Drosophila melanogaster: one gene and its partners. The protein of the gene in region 2 interacts with the protein of the main gene of each other region in a pairwise test. Each region holds a gene or a part of one and is shown on either strand. Other genes may lie near its edges.

Region 1 (4,766 bases), 1.5 Mb from region 2:
TGGGATATCGCCGGTCAGGAGAGGTTTGGCAACATGACCCGTGTCTACTACAAGGAGGCGGTGGGCGCGTTCATCGTTTTTGATGTGACTCGCAGTGGGACTTTCGATTGCGTGAGCAAGTGGAAGGAAGATCTAGACTCCAAGGTGCAGCTGCCGGACGGCAGTCCCATTCCGTGCATCCTGCTGGCCAATAAAGTAAGTGATTGCCTAAAGGTTAAAGGAGACCGCATAATTTCTATATTATGTGATTAATACGTTGCTCATCCGTTTTCCAGTGCGACCAGGAAAAGCAGGGCATCATAACGCAGCCCGAGAAGATGGATGAGTATGTGAGGGAGAACGGATTTGCCGGTTGGTTTGAGACATCCGCCAAGGAGAATATCAACATCGATGAGGCAGCTCGTGCCCTCGTGAATAAGGTGATAATCGCTGCTAATGCCCAGCCAAAGCCCCGCTAATCTTCTTCCACTCGCCCGACAGATACTCATCAACGATAAGCTGATATCTGCCGATCTGGCCGATGGCGACAAGTTCAACTTGAGCGCGGCCGATGCAACCGGATCGGATGCCAAGAACAAGTGTTCCTGCTGACCTGGGACCGAGGTCCGGCGACTCCTATTCCCATTCCCAGTTTAAGAGCGAGTTTCAACACAGAAACGCCATGTGCCTACGTCCACTCCATGTTCATGTTGTTAGAAGATAGCGATAACTATGCTTAGGGTTTTAACGTAACATTTGTCTAAGACTTAGTGTCATCCGTATCATCCCGTCCGTCTTTATCTTTAACACCCCGTCTGTGGGTCCACAATGTTGCGCCGGCATCGGGATCCGTGTCACTTTGAGAATTTATATGGTGACACATAACATACCTACGCATACGAAACATTATTACTATCACCATCATTGCCCTAGTTGCGAGGATTAGCCGGAGGTAGTGCAGCATCCGTATCATAGCATACTACATTTGTGTAAAATGCGAATCGTCTTATTGTTTTGTTTGTTTTATTTGCCTCTGCTGGCGAGATTGTTTTATCTTGGAATTATTATTCTCGTATGCAAACACACTCTGCCATCATTATTTGTATTTAGATAACAATACGTACGCTTAATGCAATGCGAAATCAGAAATAAAGTTTTTAATGGTAGTTAAGTTCAGACGACGTGTTTTATTGGCTGAATAAATTCTGTGTAAGTGCTTTTGTGATACAATGAAAATGTTATGCTACTAGTATTTGCCTTCATTGAATCACTGGTCTTTGTAAATAAATACGAATAAAAGCTTTGTTTTTACATTTCCTTTTTTAACGGTAAAAAATCGTATCCCCAACCGGCAATGTTTTTCTTTTTTTTTAATATTCAAACTATCGATAGTTATCAACTATGGTATTCCTTATTGTTTAGTGATCACATATTAAACTTAAAAATAATGATATACAGATAAAAGTGTCGTGCGTTCATATTCTACATAAAATTATTAGCAATTATTTAATCGTTATGAAAAGCGAAACGTATAAACTGGTAATTGGTATGGGAAAAATTGGGAAAAAGCTGGAATCAGGTTTAATTGCAATTTGGTTTTATAAAATGTTTTATGGCACAAACAAACATCCTGACTCAAAAGTGAATTAAGCTTGAAACTTAAATACTCCGAGAATACCGTGAATATGCGTTTACCAATTGCTGCTGAACGGGACCACTATCGATAGAACCTTACAAACTATCGAATCGCTGCAAGACTATTGCCATCGATACTTGCACCTCTATTTATTAGTGTTGTGTAGCCGTGTTACTGCTAAATTGTTTATTGCAAAAATTCCGCAAACGAGAGATATTAGGAATAGAAGACAATATAACAATTGGGCAAAATGTGTTAGATGTTTAAGGTAAGCCACCGCCAGGGCTGCAGCTCGGCGGAGCCGTATCCAACGGTCCGCGCTCTGGGGGCCGCAGCATTCCGCACTCGTCACGTTTACTCCCCTTTTCTGGTCTTTGTTGGGGCTCCGTTGGCACTTCTGCTGATAAGTGCCCAAGTCGACTTAATTAATCAGTGCCCTGGAGTCGGGGGCAAGTCAATTGGATATTTGGAAACCGCTGGGAACGTGAACCAGCTGCGCGCCCGAAAGACCAGTCATGAATTGCCGCGGCTCTGATTTGACTCCCGTTCCCACACTCCATATCTCACTCACTTTCAGTTGCTGACTAATACTGGGTGGAAGGTAATCAGTTGGAATCGTCACAAGAAACGATGCTGCCGCCTAAGGAAAACGTCGATCTGGAGTGCTTCCTGGTGACCAAGCACTCCTGGAAGGGCAGGTATAAGCGCATCCTCTCCATCGGCACGGCCGGCATATCCACCTACAATCCGGACAAGCTTGACCTGACTAACAGGTGGTCCTATTCGGACATCGTAGCAGCAGCACCCTCAAAGACCACAAATGTGAGTTTATAAGATCCTACGGAGAGCTCGGAACTAAATAAATTGATCTTTCAGATACCCCATGACTTCGTGATTACCATCAAAAAGGATAAGAAACTAGATACAATCAAGTTATCGTCGGAATATCGGAACGATATCCTAAGCTCTATATTAAAGTACTACAAAGAGTTTGCGGACAAGCCGAAAAATGCTCAGGTTGGTTTTTGAGTCTCGCTTTAAATCCTATACTAATTTGGAAACACTTCTCCAACATTTCATGTGTGATTCAGATGTTTCTAATTAACATTTAAATATGCAATATGAATTCTAATCTGTCAAAATTTTAATTTTGAATACTATCTAAATTTTGTAGCGCTTTAGTGCTTACAAATACCACTGGTCGGGCATCAGTCTTCCCACAGTACTGGAGGTCACGCCCTGTTCTCTGGACCAGCTCGATCCCACCACCAACGACGTGCTGGCCAGCTATATGTACAAGGATATCGAGGGAATAATAGGTAGCTATGCACATTCGACTCGCTTGCATCAATTAATGTGTCTTGTTTTGTCCTCATGTGCCTCAATTACAATTCAATATGATCGCTCCGTGTTTTGTTCTTTTTTTTATTTTTGGTTACTTGCCGCACTCATCTTTCTTCCGCACACGTTTTAAGCAGGCATCTCGGACTATGAGGGAGGAATCGTGATGGCCTACGGCGGATTCAGTCGCCTCCATTTGTTTAAGGCGCTGAATCACCACGAAATCGTGCAGAACATAGCACAGAGATCGGCTCAGTTTCTGGGCATCGAAACCAAAATACTCAAGAGTCAGATCACTCTGGAGCAGTTCGAGAGGCAGCGGTTCGGCAAGTTTAGGTAAGTTCATGTGAAACGCAATAAAGAATTTGTAGAAAAAAAAAGCCATATAATATTTCAGTGGTGACCAGTTTCAAACCTCGTCGACCGAATTCTCGGTTCATAAGATAACGCCCCGCCATCCGGATCCGGTGAAGCGTATACTCTGCCTCACCGAGGTAACGCTGCTGGAGCGGGATCCTCAAACCTACAGCGTCTGCACCCTGCGTCCGCTCACTGATGTGTTTGCCTTAGTTAGAGACAAGGACAATCTTCAGCGCTTCAGCATCGAGTACAAGAATGGAATCGTGCGCAACTACAGCACCAACGACCGCGACTCATTGTTGGCCACTGTTCTGGATGCTGTCCGCTCCAGTGGCAATCAGGATGTGCACGTCCGCATTGGCAACACGCCGCGAGGGAAACGGTATGTGCCATTGAACAGCTCGGTGGACGAGGAGACGGAGGCGAATTTGATGCGCCTGGTTATCAACAATTTTCAAAACCCCTCTAAGCGGTATGAGATCTTGGAGCGCTTTAATGCCAATGTGCCTCACAGTGGCCTCAACTACAGTGTAACTCAGGATGTAGGTTAACCTAATGCTCGGATTCCGGTTCAACCTAACTAATGTTTCGTTTCACAGAGCTTGTTTGCTGAAAACAAAGATAAACTTATCCTGAGTGCCCTGCAAGCGTTGGCTCAAAAGGAGCTGGACAGCCCTACGGCCCAGCTGAGCAACTTGGAGCTGGAGGCTATCTTTCACGCTCTTACTCGTCTTCTCGCTAGCAAAGTTGGATACGCAGCCTTTACGAATCTCCCGGGGTAATATATTCTAGTTTCGTACTAATAGCATTGTTAATGTTTGAATACATTTCAGCTTTCGTGAGATTATCGGTACAAAGGTGGTGGCTGCTTTAAGACGCAAGGATTTGGCTGTGACATACTCCGCCATTGACATGATTAACTCGCTAATGCATTCTGTGAATTCTGACCATGATTTAAAACAGGAGCAACTTAACAAGTCATCCATTCTGTCATCAAAATCGTTTCTGGAAACTTTGCTCAACATGTGGACAACCCATGTGGTAATGTAACCATTCTAGAGTGCGGTCAATTCGTTTTGTAACTATTTATGATTTCAGAGCCATGGCAGTGGTGCTCTGGTACTCTCAGCCATGCTGGACTTCATGACCTTTGCCTTGTGTGTGCCTTACAGCGAGACCACTGACGGCAAGCAGTTCGATACTCTGCTGGAGCTGGTTGCCGATCGTGGACGCTATTTGTACAAACTGTTCCAGCATCCCTCGCTGGCGATCGTGAAGGGAGCTGGATTGGTGCTGCGGGCCATTATTGAAGAAGGCGAGCTGCAAGTGGCTCAGCAAATGCAAGCATTGGCTTTGGATGAGGCTGCGCTGTGCCGCCACTTACTGGTGGCACTGTATACGCCCTCCAATGATCCCACACAGACCACGCAACGTCAGTTGTCGCGGCATT
Region 2 (5,784 bases):
ATGCACCTAGATTTTGAATGTCAAAATGGGATGTGTATATTTTTATGGACACTTTTGGTGCGCTTCGAACATGGCAGAGCATATTATTTTTTAGAGACCGCGAGCACAGTCGTGCAACACTCATGGATAAATGCTTTAATCTTAAATAGTTCCTTGAACTTGCACACCACAACCACCACGAGTGTATTTTTGTCCATAGGCGAGCAATCCGACCACCAGCCGGAGGTCAGAAAAACAGCCAGAGCAAAGGCAGCAGCTACCCACTCAATTACACAAAGTTAAACAATAAGTAGAGGAAGCCACTTATACATATGTACTCCATGCTTAACTGATTGTCCATGCTTAGAACGTACAGTTAACTAAAGTGAACAATATACAGGCTCAAAATGCACCTGATTATTAAAATTATAAAGGACCCATAAATATATATATATATACACAGATATCGTAAATCTTTCCACCTCCTTTGTCTCCCCCCCTTTGAATTTGAGGGCCAATCCTTCAACACTTTTAAACTATTTTGCAATGGGTCATTAGCCCGTAGAAGAACGCATTTTGTGTATATTGAACGAAGTACATTGATTTATGTAAACATTTATTAAATACATAAACTATATGTAAAGGGGATTCTTTAAATTATTTGGCGGAAGCACTTTTGTTAGTCAGCAGGGCACTAAAGTGGTCGGTTAATACTTCAAAAAAGAGTGAGTGAGTTTAAACTTCTATGTCGATGATTGTGTTTTGGGCGTCTCAATAGAACTGCAACACCAAAGTCTTTATGGCACTGGCAATGTGGAAGGCGCAGTCGCGCACCTCCAAGGTGTTCTTCTGTATGGCCTGCTTGTCATCCGCCTCGATGGCTTTCTGCAGATTCTCGCACTCGTGCTGGATGAGAATGTTCTGGCGGGTTAGCAGTTTAAGGGTTTCGCGAGACGGGTCACTGGCATTCGGTGGCTAAAATATATGTTTATGATTATGAAACATCCTTATAAAGGAAGCCCCTATGTTCATCTTACCAAATTGGCATAAAGGGCAATTAAATCAGTCACGGCACTTCGTATAAGCTCTCCATGTGGAGCAATCGACTGCTTTTGATCCTCTGGCACTGGCTGCATAGCTCTTATGAGCTCCTTAAGACGGCGTGTGACCAAGTCAGAGCGCACTTTGACCTCCTCACCAAAAGGTTTGCCATCCCCAGCCATTTGGTACATGCTGGTCGTATTTCGTATGTCCGTATTGCCCTTGGCCACATTGGGTACCAAACGACGCTCGTACATGCTGGCTGGACGCTTGATGGTCGATTGATTTGACGAATCATTGGAGGAGCCGCTTTCCCCATTGGCAGTCCCACCTTCGGGTAGCGACAGAGGCTCGTGCTCTGTATCCGGACTGCTCAAGCTCAGATCAATGCGACTATGCAAAGGAAAATTTAAAACAAATCATAAAAATAAAGCTAGCCAAATAAATTCAAATGAAAAATCTCACAGTGGCTCATCGTACACGCTGTTGTTCGATGCGCTCGAGAACTTGGACTTGAGCTGCGTGTTCTCGCTGGACAGCATCTGCACCACGTTCTTTAGCTGATTGATCTCCGATTTGTAATCGTTCAGCTGTTTGCGCAGCGTTTCCATTTCGTTGTGCGAATTCGCGCTGCGCGGTGGCGTATGCACAATGGCCTAAGTAAAATAAAAAGCATAAAAACAAGGAAAATAAATCAATATAAATCAAGTACAACTAATAATTACAAAATCTTTAAAAATAAATATTGCATAAAAACAAAAGGCAAGGCAGACAAATCACGGTACCAACTACTACTTATTTAAACTACATTTTCACAAGTATCAGCTAGTTTTATTGAGGCTTATGTTCTACATTTGGACTTCTACCTTTGAAAATGGATTAGGTTGCCTAAAATCAGGGAGCTATAGTGCCCTGGCCTACGGATGAACACAATGGGTACAGCACGGGTTGTCTAAATGTCAGTCTTCGCTTACGCTTCTAGCCAAAGCTATTGTTCAGCTTGAGTATCTTTTGCCGCATTAGGTTTACCTGCTGGGCCATTGGTGGCACTGGGGCATAGTCGTCATCGCTGGCCACCGGATCATAAATGGGCTCGTCGTCCGACAGATTCGGATCATGACCGCCCTGCTCGAACGAGCCGAGCAGCATTGAGTTGTTGGCATACGGCAGCGATTGCAGCGACTGGTGCCCGGCCACTGGGGCATCCATTGGACGCAGGTTGGCCATATTCTGGCGTCGCATAGCATCGACGAGCACGTCGGTCAAGAGACCAGTGAACTCGGCGCGATTGAAGCGTGCCAATTTCTGACGACCCTGTAGGCGAGACCATGTCAATGAATGAAGGTTCGAATCATTAATGTACGGCGAGGTCAAACCTGATTGCGCGTGGCGCTCAAAAATGGATTAGCCGGCAAAAATGGCACAGTTGCATGATCAGCATTCAGGGTGCTTGTCGACCAGACTATTTCGTTAAGAAAAATAAGATTAGCTTTGTTTGTAGTCTATGTTTAGCAGTCATACTCACTGGCTTCGCACTCGCGTCTGTCCACCTCATCGTATAGGTCCATGACCAGCTCCTCAAACATCTTATTTGGCACGAGTTGCAACTTTCCACGTGCAATCTTCAGTTGCTCGCTTATGTCCGCGCCATTGGCATCCGGAATAATCATGTGGCGGCCACTCTACGTATGGAAATAGTATTTAAATAGAACGGAATAAGGAAATGGGTAGGAAAGGTCGAGTCAACTGTGCATTTGCTCATGGAAATATGAATCCATTAAATAAATATAGTTCTGTGACTAACAAAAATTTAAATAGATAGTTATAAACTTTAGACTGAAGACAACTTAAGGAGTTACAAGGATATAGCTTAATTGGCTTAATACATATATGATTAATCAATGGATAAGGTTAAATGGTTTGTCCAATTAAAGTATAATTTCACTCTGCAGGTAATTAAAGATCTAAACTCACCGCATGATCTGGCTTCTTGCCACCTAGGAAGGTAATGATCCTGTCGGTGACATCGTACATGGCATCAAGCAGTCTTTCGGCGATGGTGTTATGATTGTTGGCCCTGGCCAGTTCCAGAGGAGTCATCCCATTGCCATCCAAGGCATTCACATCGGCTCCATAGATGAGCAGCATCTCGATTTGTGATGCCTGGCCAAACTTGGCGGCCATGTGAAGTGGCGTTGATAGCTTGTCCTCGTGGTAGTAATTTGGGTCTGCACCCTGGACCAAGAAGCGCAGTGAAGTCTCTAGATTGCTGGTCCGCACGCTGGCATGGAGCTGTCTACTCAGCTCCTGTTCCAGACAGCCCGCTGAGCCATTGCCATCATCGTCATCCTGGAGACTGGGTTTTAGCACGAACGTTAGATTCACATGCTTGGCCTTAATAAAATCGGATTTGGTGGGATGGAGTGCATCCTTGGGCGTGGGTTTCCGCCAGCGTGGCACGTGCTTTCCGCCGGTGGAGTTGGTGCTGCCATCCAGCAGATGATGCTCCCAAACACTATTGGCTCCATGGGCGTTTAGAGAGTTCACAAAGTTCAGAACCGAGGGCTCCCAGTTACCCTGGCGTAGAGACTTCACAATGGAGATGTGCCTGCCCAGACTGCGGTGCACCGAACAGCAGTCGGCGCAGAGAAGGATGCCCCGGTTGATGCTCGCCCAGGATGGATCACCAGCTCCGCAATCGCCACAAACTTCGGTTTGCAGGCGGGATTTCCCCCTCGGCATTTTGGATCTGGTCGAAATCGTGGGTGTGGCTGGATCGGAATGATCCAAATCCGGCGGCGCTATAAATAACTTCCTGTGCGCTTCGATTATACTGCTGGCGAAACACATTCAGCATTCCAAGACGCTCACAAGCTGCAGGGGAGATACGAAAAATAGAATACCGAAGTTGAAAAAAAACTCGGACAATCTCAAGTGACTTCGTTGTGAGTCAGTTGCAAGCTGTTGGCTTTCTGATTGGAAATCCGAAACGCTGGCGGTGAAAGGTCAAATATCAGCAACTGGGGCTCACCCCTGGCCATCAATTAGGAAAATTACTTTTAATTAAACGCGGGGAGCAGCAGAAGAAAACATTTGCGGACGCCTTTTCCGAGTTTGTTTTAGTTATTTTGCGCACCAGTGTGACCAAACAGTAGCAGTGGAAAAGCGCTAGATTTGAAGTGAAAAGGCTGACGAATGTAGCAGCTGTGTTTGTGCCTTTTCAAATTTTAAAATCCATCATATACCCAGTATTACAGAAGTTGCAATATTTATTCGGTCAAAATTTTGCAATGGTCTGCAATACCGAAAAATCAAAAACCAAACAGGTGTAACTTTCGTAACTAGCCCTGCCAGACTTTTCAATATTGTCGGCTGGCCTCACTATTCCAGCTTCTTCACAACATATAGTTGTCTCACTTGCACTCCCTTAGAAATCATATGTTTATGAACAGATGAGACAGTTTTAGAAGCACTGCATTATTTGAAGCACATGTGCCAAAACAAAACAATTTCGCCGACATTCAATTCGAATTTAGTTGTCATTAAAAAATAGAAGTGCAACATTAGCATGCAAGTGGAGAATCTGCATACTTCAGTGGCCTGCAACCGCTGCACGGAATGCGCGGATTGGGGTCCAAATGGTTGGATTGCCTATGGGGCATGTAACGCCATAGCCATTATGGATCCAAAGGTAGGAAATTTTGCCTTTACTGGAAACATAGTATATTTAACCAATTTTTAGTTTCAAGGCAACTCAGCCAAGGTCCTGTTCACGCTGGTGGAGCACACAAAGCGAGTAAACACTGTGAGGTGGTTGGATTGCGACAAACTTCTTTCCGGCGGAGATGATGCAATTGCTATTCTCTGGGAACTGGATGAAACGGGAACGACTAAGAGCTTCACTCTCAAAGGACACACAAGTGGCGTAAATACTGTGGATGGAATTCGCCAACAGGATGGCTCCTGGCTTTTGGCGACCGCAGCAGCAGATACCACCATCAAGTTGTGGACTTTCCAGGATAATAATTATGTGTGCTTTCAAACCATATCTTTATCCGACGGATTCTGCTTCTGTCTTCGACTGCAGCTGCTGCCCAAGAGCAACCAGGTTCTGCTCGCCTTCAGTGGCGATGACGAGACTGTTTCCCTGTGGTCGGAACAGGTAGAAACCGCAGGTGAAGGAGATTCACTAGGTCGGCAGTTCCAACGCAAACACAAGCTCACTGGCCACGAAGACTGGGTTCGAGGTCTGGATTTCGTTGTCGATGGCGAGGATTTGCTGCTGGCCAGTGGCTCTCAGGATAACTTTATTCGTCTCTGGCGGATTGCGCCGCGCAGCAAAGAGCAAATGCAAGAGAATCGGGTTGATCTGCATCAATTGAGCCACAACGACGATGAGATAAAGGTGGAGGAGAAGATACTACAACTGGGGAAAGAAGCCTGGTATGCAGTGAGCTTGGAATCGGTTCTATATGGACATGAGGGATGGATTTATGGGGTCCACTGGCACAAAACACCCGATCAAGGTAAAGCACAGCAATTGAACTCCCCAAAGACCTTTCAAAAACGTTATCCATTTAGAGCTCCGCCTTCTATCCGCTTCTATTGACAAGACCGTCATAATTTGGGCACCTACGGAAGAAGGCATTTGGTTGGAAGAAGTTCGCGTGGGTGAAGTGGGTGGAAACTCCGTGGGCTTCTATGGTGGAAAGTTCTCCGGCGATGGACACTCGATCATGGCCCACAGCTACCAAGGTGGCTTTC
Region 3 (3,917 bases), on a different chromosome or scaffold from region 2:
CAAAGAATTGCGAGACGTTTAGTTTCCCATTATTATCCCCGAAAACGTTGGACTTTGGACCAAGTTGGGGGAGATAGAAACTTTATTCAAAACTAGCCGCCCGTTTTGGGGCAGCGTTATAGGTTGGTATTTTTCGTTGATAAGATTAAACAAACATCGCAATGCGGTCACATCGTCATTGTTGATTTGTGATAGCTGTTAAATAATAATAATTCCGTTTTACGAATTTTGTAAAGATGAGCAAGCAGCCCTCGTTCGTGTCGCGCAACCTGGTGGCCGTCGTGATGATCCCCAGTCTGGTGGGGATCCATCTGGGCTGGAGCTACATGCAGAGCAACCGAAAACTGGTCACGGAGGCGGAACAGATCGAGATGCCGCCGGTCACGGTATGTTAGTCCTAATTCTTAAGGCGATCACCTCAAGACAGCAGCTCCTCTTTTTGTCCAGTTTGCCAGGTTTGTGTGGAACAAGCTAACGGGCGCAGGAAGTTCGACGGAATGACAAACCCTCTGGTGATGAGCTTAAGACATACAATCTATTTATTGTATAGAATAATTAAAACTACATGCAAACTGTATGGTACAATCGGCTGCTGCCCGGGCGACACATGTTGGCCGGGCTGCAGGTTGGGACACAGACAAAATGGAGATATAAAGCCAGAGACTACACATACTTAGTCTAGGGGGACAAGAGAGATTACTGCGTGAGGGCCGAGTGAACGGTGAGGTTGCCCAGCTGTGCGTTGAATAGAACGTCGCTGATCAGTTTCTCGGCCACGATCCGCTGCGTCGGGTTGATGGAGCGCAGTTTGCTCGCCACATTCACGCCAATGGCATCGTACTCGTCGTCTTGCCGGTGCGATGTGCTCGTAGCCGCTGTGGTGGTATAGGCAGTGGTGCCGGCATTGCCAAACAATGGCTGATAGTGATCGCGGCCTATCTGGATGGTGGGAACGCCCTGATGTTGGCCATTCGTCTGCTGCAGGTGGAGCTGCTGCTGGTGGTGCTCCAGATGATTGACCGCCTGCGTGGGGAGAGGAGGTGATTGAAGACCCTAAGGAACTCTTCACTGCTTTGGAGCTACTCACTTGTTGTATCTCGCGCTGGGAGTTGGAGTCTAGGGAGGTGATCTCTAAGACCTTCACGGCATGTCCCTGAGCCGCCGCCGCCGCAATGGAGGTCTGGGCTGCTGCATGGGCTACCATTTGCTGGTGTGCTTGGGCTGCGGCTGCCGCTGCTTCGGCCGCCTGGTGCTCCTCGCTCTTGACAAGGGTCACACATTCCGCGGGCGTCACCGAAATGGTGCTCAGAGTGGCGCCCTGACTGCTGACGACCACATTGTTGGCCGTCGCCGCGACTTCTTCCACATCGTCCGGGGACGTGGGTATTATGGACTCCATGTGCTGAGACTGAGTGCCCGTGTGATGTGAGTCGTCCTCGAACTCCATTGACTCCTCGTCGTCGAAGCTGATATGGAGTTCTCTCTTGGGCTTGGAGCCGAGTTCGTGGCGCTTGGGCTTGTGGTCAGCGATGAAAAGCAGCTTGTCGTAGTACCACAAACGCGTTGCGTAGTCGCCTTTGGTACTCGTCTTGCGGAATTCCCGCCGAAAAGCGGACCGCAGTGAGTTAATTTTCCTGTAAAGCGTGAATTGTGTTTACTGAACTGTGGCACATTTGACATGGAAATTCTCACCTTACTACCATCGCCCTGTCCGGATTGGGCTCCACTTCTTTTAGCTTCTCCACCAGGCGATCGTAGGACTTGTTACGGGCTGTGTGATTGCTGTAGTCGTTGTGCTTGGGCTGCCAGAGGCACTCCTCCTCTTGGTACTGCTCGATAAACTCCGTGAGCCAGTGGCGTGAGTACGAACGCAGGTCTAAGTTCATGGTCCCTTTCACTCGCGTTTTATTTGGGGTTTTCTCAATTAACTTCAGCTTAGTATTTTTTGTTTTCGCTGCGTCTCGCGTGAAGTTGGCTGCGCCACAAACGTCGGGGCGTTGCCAACCCAAACAAATCATCGCGGTCGAGATGGTATCGAGCCTGCATTTTTGAATATAAGGAGCAAAAATTTAAATTAGGCAAATAAAGTAAAACAACTTTAGCCCCTTAAATAAAAAGTGATCGACTTTAACGTTAAATATGACAAAGTGCATACAAATTCTCTAAAACTGAATAGCTATGTGATTCATTATCCGTTTCATTACAATTTTAAGCCAGGAAATAATGATTTACCCTTTGTATTGCATTTATGAGTGATACGGCATATCTATTGCAAGTCAAGAATATATTTTGTTTAATAATATATTTTAATGTTTATTTATGTTTAATATTTTGTTTAAACGAACTTGTATGCCAGTGAATAACACAAATATCTGTAGCACTTGTTGAAATTATTTACAACGTTTTGAAAGGGTGCTTTCTTTTACAATTGACATGACGAAACAATGACATAACGGCTCTGGAACAAATTTTATAAACAATTTTTGACAGCAGTCCTCTCTTAATTTGCACCACTGTGCCACAGTTAGAGGGTTGCGGTCTGGGCTTACCTCCAGCGTGGACTCCACCCACGCCGTCTGGCAGCGCAGTCAGCATGGCAACGCCGAGCGCAGTTCTCGATGTTTTTGTCAATTGCTCTTTGGAGCTTCGCAGGCGGAGTCCGAGAATCGCGCGGAAAATGTGCATTAACAAATAGAAAAATCCGAAATAAAGACAAAGAATTAGCTCGCGGTTAAAGAGAATACAGCACCTGTGTTTTTGGAATCGAAAATCAGTGCGAAACGCCTACCACTGCTGTGTGTTGTTGTTATTGTTGCCAAGGCCGAAGGAGCGAAAAGGGAGGCCGAAAAAAAAGAATCTGTGCTAACAAAAACAAAGGTGCGTGTAGGGCCAAACACACATGAAATCGTACATATGTACGCATATGTATACGTGTGTGTGTTCAAAATAATTTGTTGTTCTCGTTTTGCCCAATTATATAAGGTGTCCGTGTGTGAGTGGTCTTTTTGGGATGTTGCAAGCGTTTAATCGGTGTAAACAAGAGCGAATAAATGGATTGCCAAACAGTTGGTGCACAGTGGCCTTTATCGCAAAGTACTTAAATTTAAGAGAAACAAACAACAACACTTACAAGCAACAGCTGTTTTTCATTCCCCTAGGCGCACTCAGTCCAATCAGAATTAAGTCACGTATGATTCTTATAAATCAAATCCAGTTTTGTAAACAACAAACAAAAGTATTCCGAATTATTGTTCAAGGAAATAAATTGGCTAGAAAATCGCGCATGTGAAAGTGCACTTTCCGAGTAATTTGCATAAATTTCCATTGCCCCATTTGGTTTTTGTTATTTTCCTCCAAGGGGGTACAAAGTCCAGTTGGAATGATGTTGTAGCTGCTTTACTATCTACATCCCGCATCGACCCCCCCCCCCCCTCCAACGGGCTATTTATAGCAAACAAATTTCATAGCCAGAAGCAAAGTGGAAAACACTTGCTGGATAAACTGGATCCGTAGTAAGCCACAACCTTGACTGAGTGCAATAGCAGAGAAAAAAGTGCACAAACACCGCCTAACGAGCTTGTTTACGTTTATCAAGCGCCGGCAACAACAGCATCCCAGTGCACAGTGGTCGAAAAGTGTCGTTCATCGCTCGAATTCCTTATCAAAAAATTTGTTTATGGAGGGGGCACATATCAAGAGGCTGTGCTAAAATCACACTTAAGCCGCAAGCAAAGGCGCGGAATATTTGCTAAACTACTTTTGGCCCAACTTTTCAAGATAGAAGAGCTGAAATCGCTAGGTACAGTGATTACTTGTACCAGAAGGTTGCATTTGAAACGTATCAGCCTATAAAATCAATATAATTTAGTTAATTTCCTTAATCTTAGTAGTTGCTTAGTAGTAGTTAGTCGACTCAC
Region 4 (3,952 bases), 8.3 Mb from region 2:
ATAGAGCACAGATTAAGCATACGACGTGTTGTGCAGTTATCAACGCGATGCCAACGATTCCTAACGGAACACCGTGCGTCGTCCCATGGCGGAGGTCTGTTCCCTCAAACGCTCCACCTTGGTCTTCGGTAATTTATGATTCGCAGCGCACGGCCCGCAAATGATCTATTGCCCATTGCAGTTATCCAAGCGGAGTAGGTGGAGCAGGGAGCAGCCGAGGACTTTGGATCGGCACTTGTTGCATCAGCATCGGGCGACCATAACAGCCACAAGTGATTTCTTTCGCATCGATGCCTCCAGGCGCTGCTGACAGTTACAAAGTGCGCCCACTAGTTGGCGGTCAGGTTAAAATGACCCAAACTAAAAGCCAAAGCGAAGCCGAGCCACAATGCATATACGCGTTGTCGACGCCATCTCCCTAGCTTTGATTAATGGACTTTTCGTGTTGGCTTCGATTCTGGCCACGGCGTCATAAATAAACTCTAAAAATGCAACAACAGGCAAAAGGTGGAGCACGTCTGTGCGGCGCATATTTATCATTGGTAAACTTTATTCTTAACATTTACATACAACGCGTTAAAATTACTTGTCCAATTGTTTTTCACTTTAGATATTACAATTTTATGCCTATTTCATATATATGGATATCGTAGATGAAGTGCTTGAAAAGTTGAAAATAACTGTTTACACAATAGAATTCTATGTCAATTTTAAACTAGTCAATTTAAATCTGGCTACTATAAGTTACAGTTTTGTGTGTGTTCCGGCGGAGCGCAGGACTTGGAGAGCTAGAAAACGTTCGAGTGCCAAAGAGCACATTCGTAAAAGACCTATACAATTCGAGCTGACTTGACTCGTTCCATTGCTTTTGCTAATGCTGATCCTTTCGCCGTGGCTTCTGCTGGTGCTGGAGTTTTTGCCGACTGCTTAGACCCACTGATCTCGCCCTGCCGCTTGGGACACTATAAGGACGGCGGATCGTACTGGAAGCCCGGGTTGTTGAACTTGAAGCGCGCAATCTCAAATTGCAGTGTCTCGAATTTGATGTCGGCCAGTCGCTTCAGCTGGTGCGCGATCTGCTGGGCATCGCTGCTGCTCAGCGCGCTTGTCAGCGAACTGGGTTCCCGCTCCAGCTTTGTACTGTGCAGCGGCGGCACGGCCTGCATGTTTGAAATGCAACGCGGCGCATTTTTAACTGAAAGATATGGAAAAACGTGATGTTAACTGCTTAAACTTAAGCAAAGTAAAACGGCATAGTTACCTTCGTAGATAATTTGCTCCCTGGGCTGTGTGCGCATCCGCTTGACGGGCAGCTCGCCGTTGATCAGCTTATTGCCGGAGGAGGCTGTGCCCGGATTGATGACGGGGGCAGCAGGCCTGCGGGATGTGACGTACTCGACGGCGTGCGGCTGCACCGTTTGGGGATCCTCCTCGACATGCTCGAAGGATGTGTTGTCCACGACGATGGTGCGATAGGTGCCGCCACCCGTATTGACCGCCGTTGTGGACGCGGTGATGCCGGTCTCCGCCAGATTCTCCTCCATCATGTCCTCGTGATCGACATGCTCCTCCACCATCTCCTCCTCGTCCACCTCATCGTTGATTGCCTCTTCAACGGCTGCCTGAAGTTCCTTTTGAAATGCCACCGAAGTACGCTGGCCCAGTTCCTCCATCTCGTCGTCGTGCTCATCCTTTTCGGACTTCAGATTGAGCATCGTTTCGCCGCCGGTGGTGGGCACCTTGCCAAAGAGATCGAGAGCGCGCGTCTCCACGGAGGTCATCGAGATGTCCTTTTCCGTGGACAGAAGGCTGCGTCTGTACTTGCAGCGAGTGGTGTTCTTCCAATCGTTTAGGCGCTGTATGTGGAGCAGGAAATTCGCGATTAGAGGTAACATTATTTGGGTGATGTAGTGGTACTCGTACCTTGCGCCACTCCTCCGGCGTCAGTGTGGGTCCGGAGCTGCACTTGTTTAGCCGGTCGGAGAGCTCCTTCCACTTTTTGGTCAAGTAGTTCAGGTCATAGTCGCGCGGCACTCGTCCGGTGGCGAAAATGGGGTCGCTCTCCATCATGTCGATGTACATTTGGTACTGCTCCGATGAGGTGCGTTTCTTGCGGCGGTCCATCTTGCCGTTCATCCGGGTATCCTTGCTCTGTGCCTGCGTGCTCGATGCCGTGTTTAAATAGCTGGCAAAAGCCCTAAAATGCAAATCGACGCCACCAAGCGATGCGAGATGTTCACAAACAATTTACGCATTTAGCGTTTGGGATTTTCTAGTTGCATTTTGTTGCTGTTGGCGCAGGGTTGCATTCGGCACGCCAGTGGTGCGCATCTGGCGGGAAGCCAAAAAAGCAATTAGATGCCATGCGATAGTTATGGCTAGATGTGCAATAAATAATTCAATTTTGTTGCAATAAAAACATGCGGATTCAGAAATGATTTGTCACAATATTTATTAGCGGTTTCATATAAATCAATAATACATTTCAAAATATATGTGCAAAAAGTATTTCGTCGAACGATATGCATAACAACAGTCTTAAAAACGACTAATTGGTATATGGTACACACTACTCAAGAATTTGTTTTCAACGAATGCCTACTGTACTACTTATTGAGCGTTCCGCGGCTTTTAATTCGAGGCGAAATCAGCAGGTCCCTCTGAGCTCACATATTATATTACATTATACATTATATCAATGTGCATGGCTAGCATGGGCTATAATTCCGGAACGTACTCGAATCCGGGATTATTGTACTTGAAGCGGGCTATCTTAAAGTGCAGCGATGCCTCGTGTATGTCCGAAATGCGTTTCAGCTGCTCCTGGATTTTCTCTCCATAGAAGGCAGACGGTTCTTTCGCGGCAGATTGATCAGATGTGACATCCGCGACTGAAATCAAGGCTATGTCCCTTTATAGGATATTTAGTATTTACATTAGATTTGCGTCTACCCACCTTCGTAGATAATCTCACTGGAACCATCGAGCCTTAGCTTTTTCGCGGCACTGTGACCATTGATGATCGTTGGGTTGGCTTGCTCGTGAGGCTCTGCTATGAACTGCTGGTACTGCACCTCCTCCTCCTCCTCCTCATCCACCAACTCCTCCAGGTTCTCATTCTCTTCTTCATCCAGTTCCTCTTGCTCCTCCATCAGTTCGTGCAGGCGCATCGAAATTCCCTCGCGAAAATTCGGTTCTAAGGAGAAGATCTGCAGGGCTCTGTTCTCCAGAGGAGTCATTGCATTGCTCTTGTCATCCGAGTTGATGCTGCGTCGGTATTTGGAGCGCGTGCTGTTCTTCCAGTCGTTGAGGCGCTATAAGCATGACACACTGTGGGCTTGTACACTCGATACCCAACTGGTTACAACATACCTTTCGCCATTCCTCGGGCGACAAAGTGGGACCCGTGGAGCACTTGTTTAGCAGATCGCTGAGCTCCTTCCACTTCTTGCCGTCCTGGGTGCGACTCAGTTTGTTGGCCGACATCGGGGGATTCTCCTCCATGAAGTCTAGGTATACTTCGTATTGGTAGTACGACGTCCGCTTGTTGCGTCGATTCATTTTGGGGATCCAAATTATGACCAACAATTGAAAACAAACAAATTGAAACAGACGCCACAAAAAGGCAATAAAGCAACGAGCTATCGATAACACAAACAATTAAGGCTCCGAAATTAAATACCAAAACCGAAATACCAAACTATTTTAGAAAATATCAAAATAATTGTTTGGTTCTCCTAGGTTCGAAAAGAAGTTTCTTGGAATTTGTAATTTACCCGCGCCACAATCTCACAAGATTGTGTAATACATCTAAAAATATTTATTTTTCTCAAAATATCACATTTCAATTTATAAAATAAATTGGTCTAGTTCTTTAAGCATTTTTTGTGTATTTCGTAATTTTTGTAACAAAGCTAGTCCTGCTTTTTCAATCAAGTTCAATCAGAGGGTA

Evidence for each region.
Region 1: the proteins of Git (region 2) and Rme-8 interact in a two-hybrid assay, tested with the Drosophila melanogaster proteins (one large-scale study listed by BioGRID).
Region 3: the proteins of Git (region 2) and CG5180 interact in a two-hybrid assay, tested with the Drosophila melanogaster proteins (one large-scale study listed by BioGRID).
Region 4: the proteins of Git (region 2) and prod interact in a two-hybrid assay, tested with the Drosophila melanogaster proteins (one large-scale study listed by BioGRID).

The regions. Positions count from the first base shown.
Region 1 is NT_033778.4:9,174,259-9,179,024, reverse strand, and holds the start of Rme-8 (receptor mediated endocytosis 8), read left to right. Parts: upstream 1-1,763; 5' UTR 1,764-1,883; intron 1,884-2,192; 5' UTR 2,193-2,245; coding exon 2,246-2,437; intron 2,438-2,491; coding exon 2,492-2,632; intron 2,633-2,789; coding exon 2,790-2,934; intron 2,935-3,090; coding exon 3,091-3,292; intron 3,293-3,353; coding exon 3,354-3,858; intron 3,859-3,915; coding exon 3,916-4,094; intron 4,095-4,149; coding exon 4,150-4,357; intron 4,358-4,414; coding exon 4,415-4,766. Other genes in the region: Rab32, read left to right, coding at 1-195, 276-419, 481-591.
Region 2 is NT_033778.4:10,641,261-10,647,044, forward strand, and holds Git (G protein-coupled receptor kinase interacting ArfGAP), read right to left. Parts: upstream 4,168-5,784; 5' UTR 4,078-4,167; intron 3,895-4,077; 5' UTR 3,871-3,894; coding exon 2,995-3,870; intron 2,703-2,994; coding exon 2,546-2,702; intron 2,483-2,545; coding exon 2,397-2,482; intron 2,335-2,396; coding exon 2,050-2,334; intron 1,677-2,049; coding exon 1,486-1,676; intron 1,414-1,485; coding exon 1,017-1,413; intron 955-1,016; coding exon 751-954; 3' UTR 558-750; downstream 1-557. Other genes in the region: Elp2 (elongator complex protein 2), read left to right, coding at 4,589-4,711, 4,763-5,546, 5,602-5,784. UniProt on the Drosophila melanogaster protein: GTPase-activating protein for ADP ribosylation factor family members, including ARF1.
Region 3 is NT_033777.3:20,556,367-20,560,283, reverse strand, and holds CG5180 (uncharacterized protein), read right to left. Parts: upstream 2,355-3,917; 5' UTR 2,233-2,354; intron 2,041-2,232; 5' UTR 1,887-2,040; coding exon 1,693-1,886; intron 1,635-1,692; coding exon 1,088-1,634; intron 1,024-1,087; coding exon 697-1,023; 3' UTR 524-696; downstream 1-523. Other genes in the region: CG15922 (uncharacterized protein), read left to right, coding at 237-386, 448-501.
Region 4 is NT_033778.4:18,968,873-18,972,824, forward strand, and holds prod (proliferation disrupter), read right to left. Parts: upstream 2,262-3,952; 5' UTR 2,137-2,261; coding exon 1,924-2,136; intron 1,857-1,923; coding exon 1,262-1,856; intron 1,196-1,261; coding exon 963-1,195; 3' UTR 532-962; downstream 1-531. Other genes in the region: CG15107 (uncharacterized protein), read right to left, coding at 2,719-2,903, 2,957-3,314, 3,373-3,561.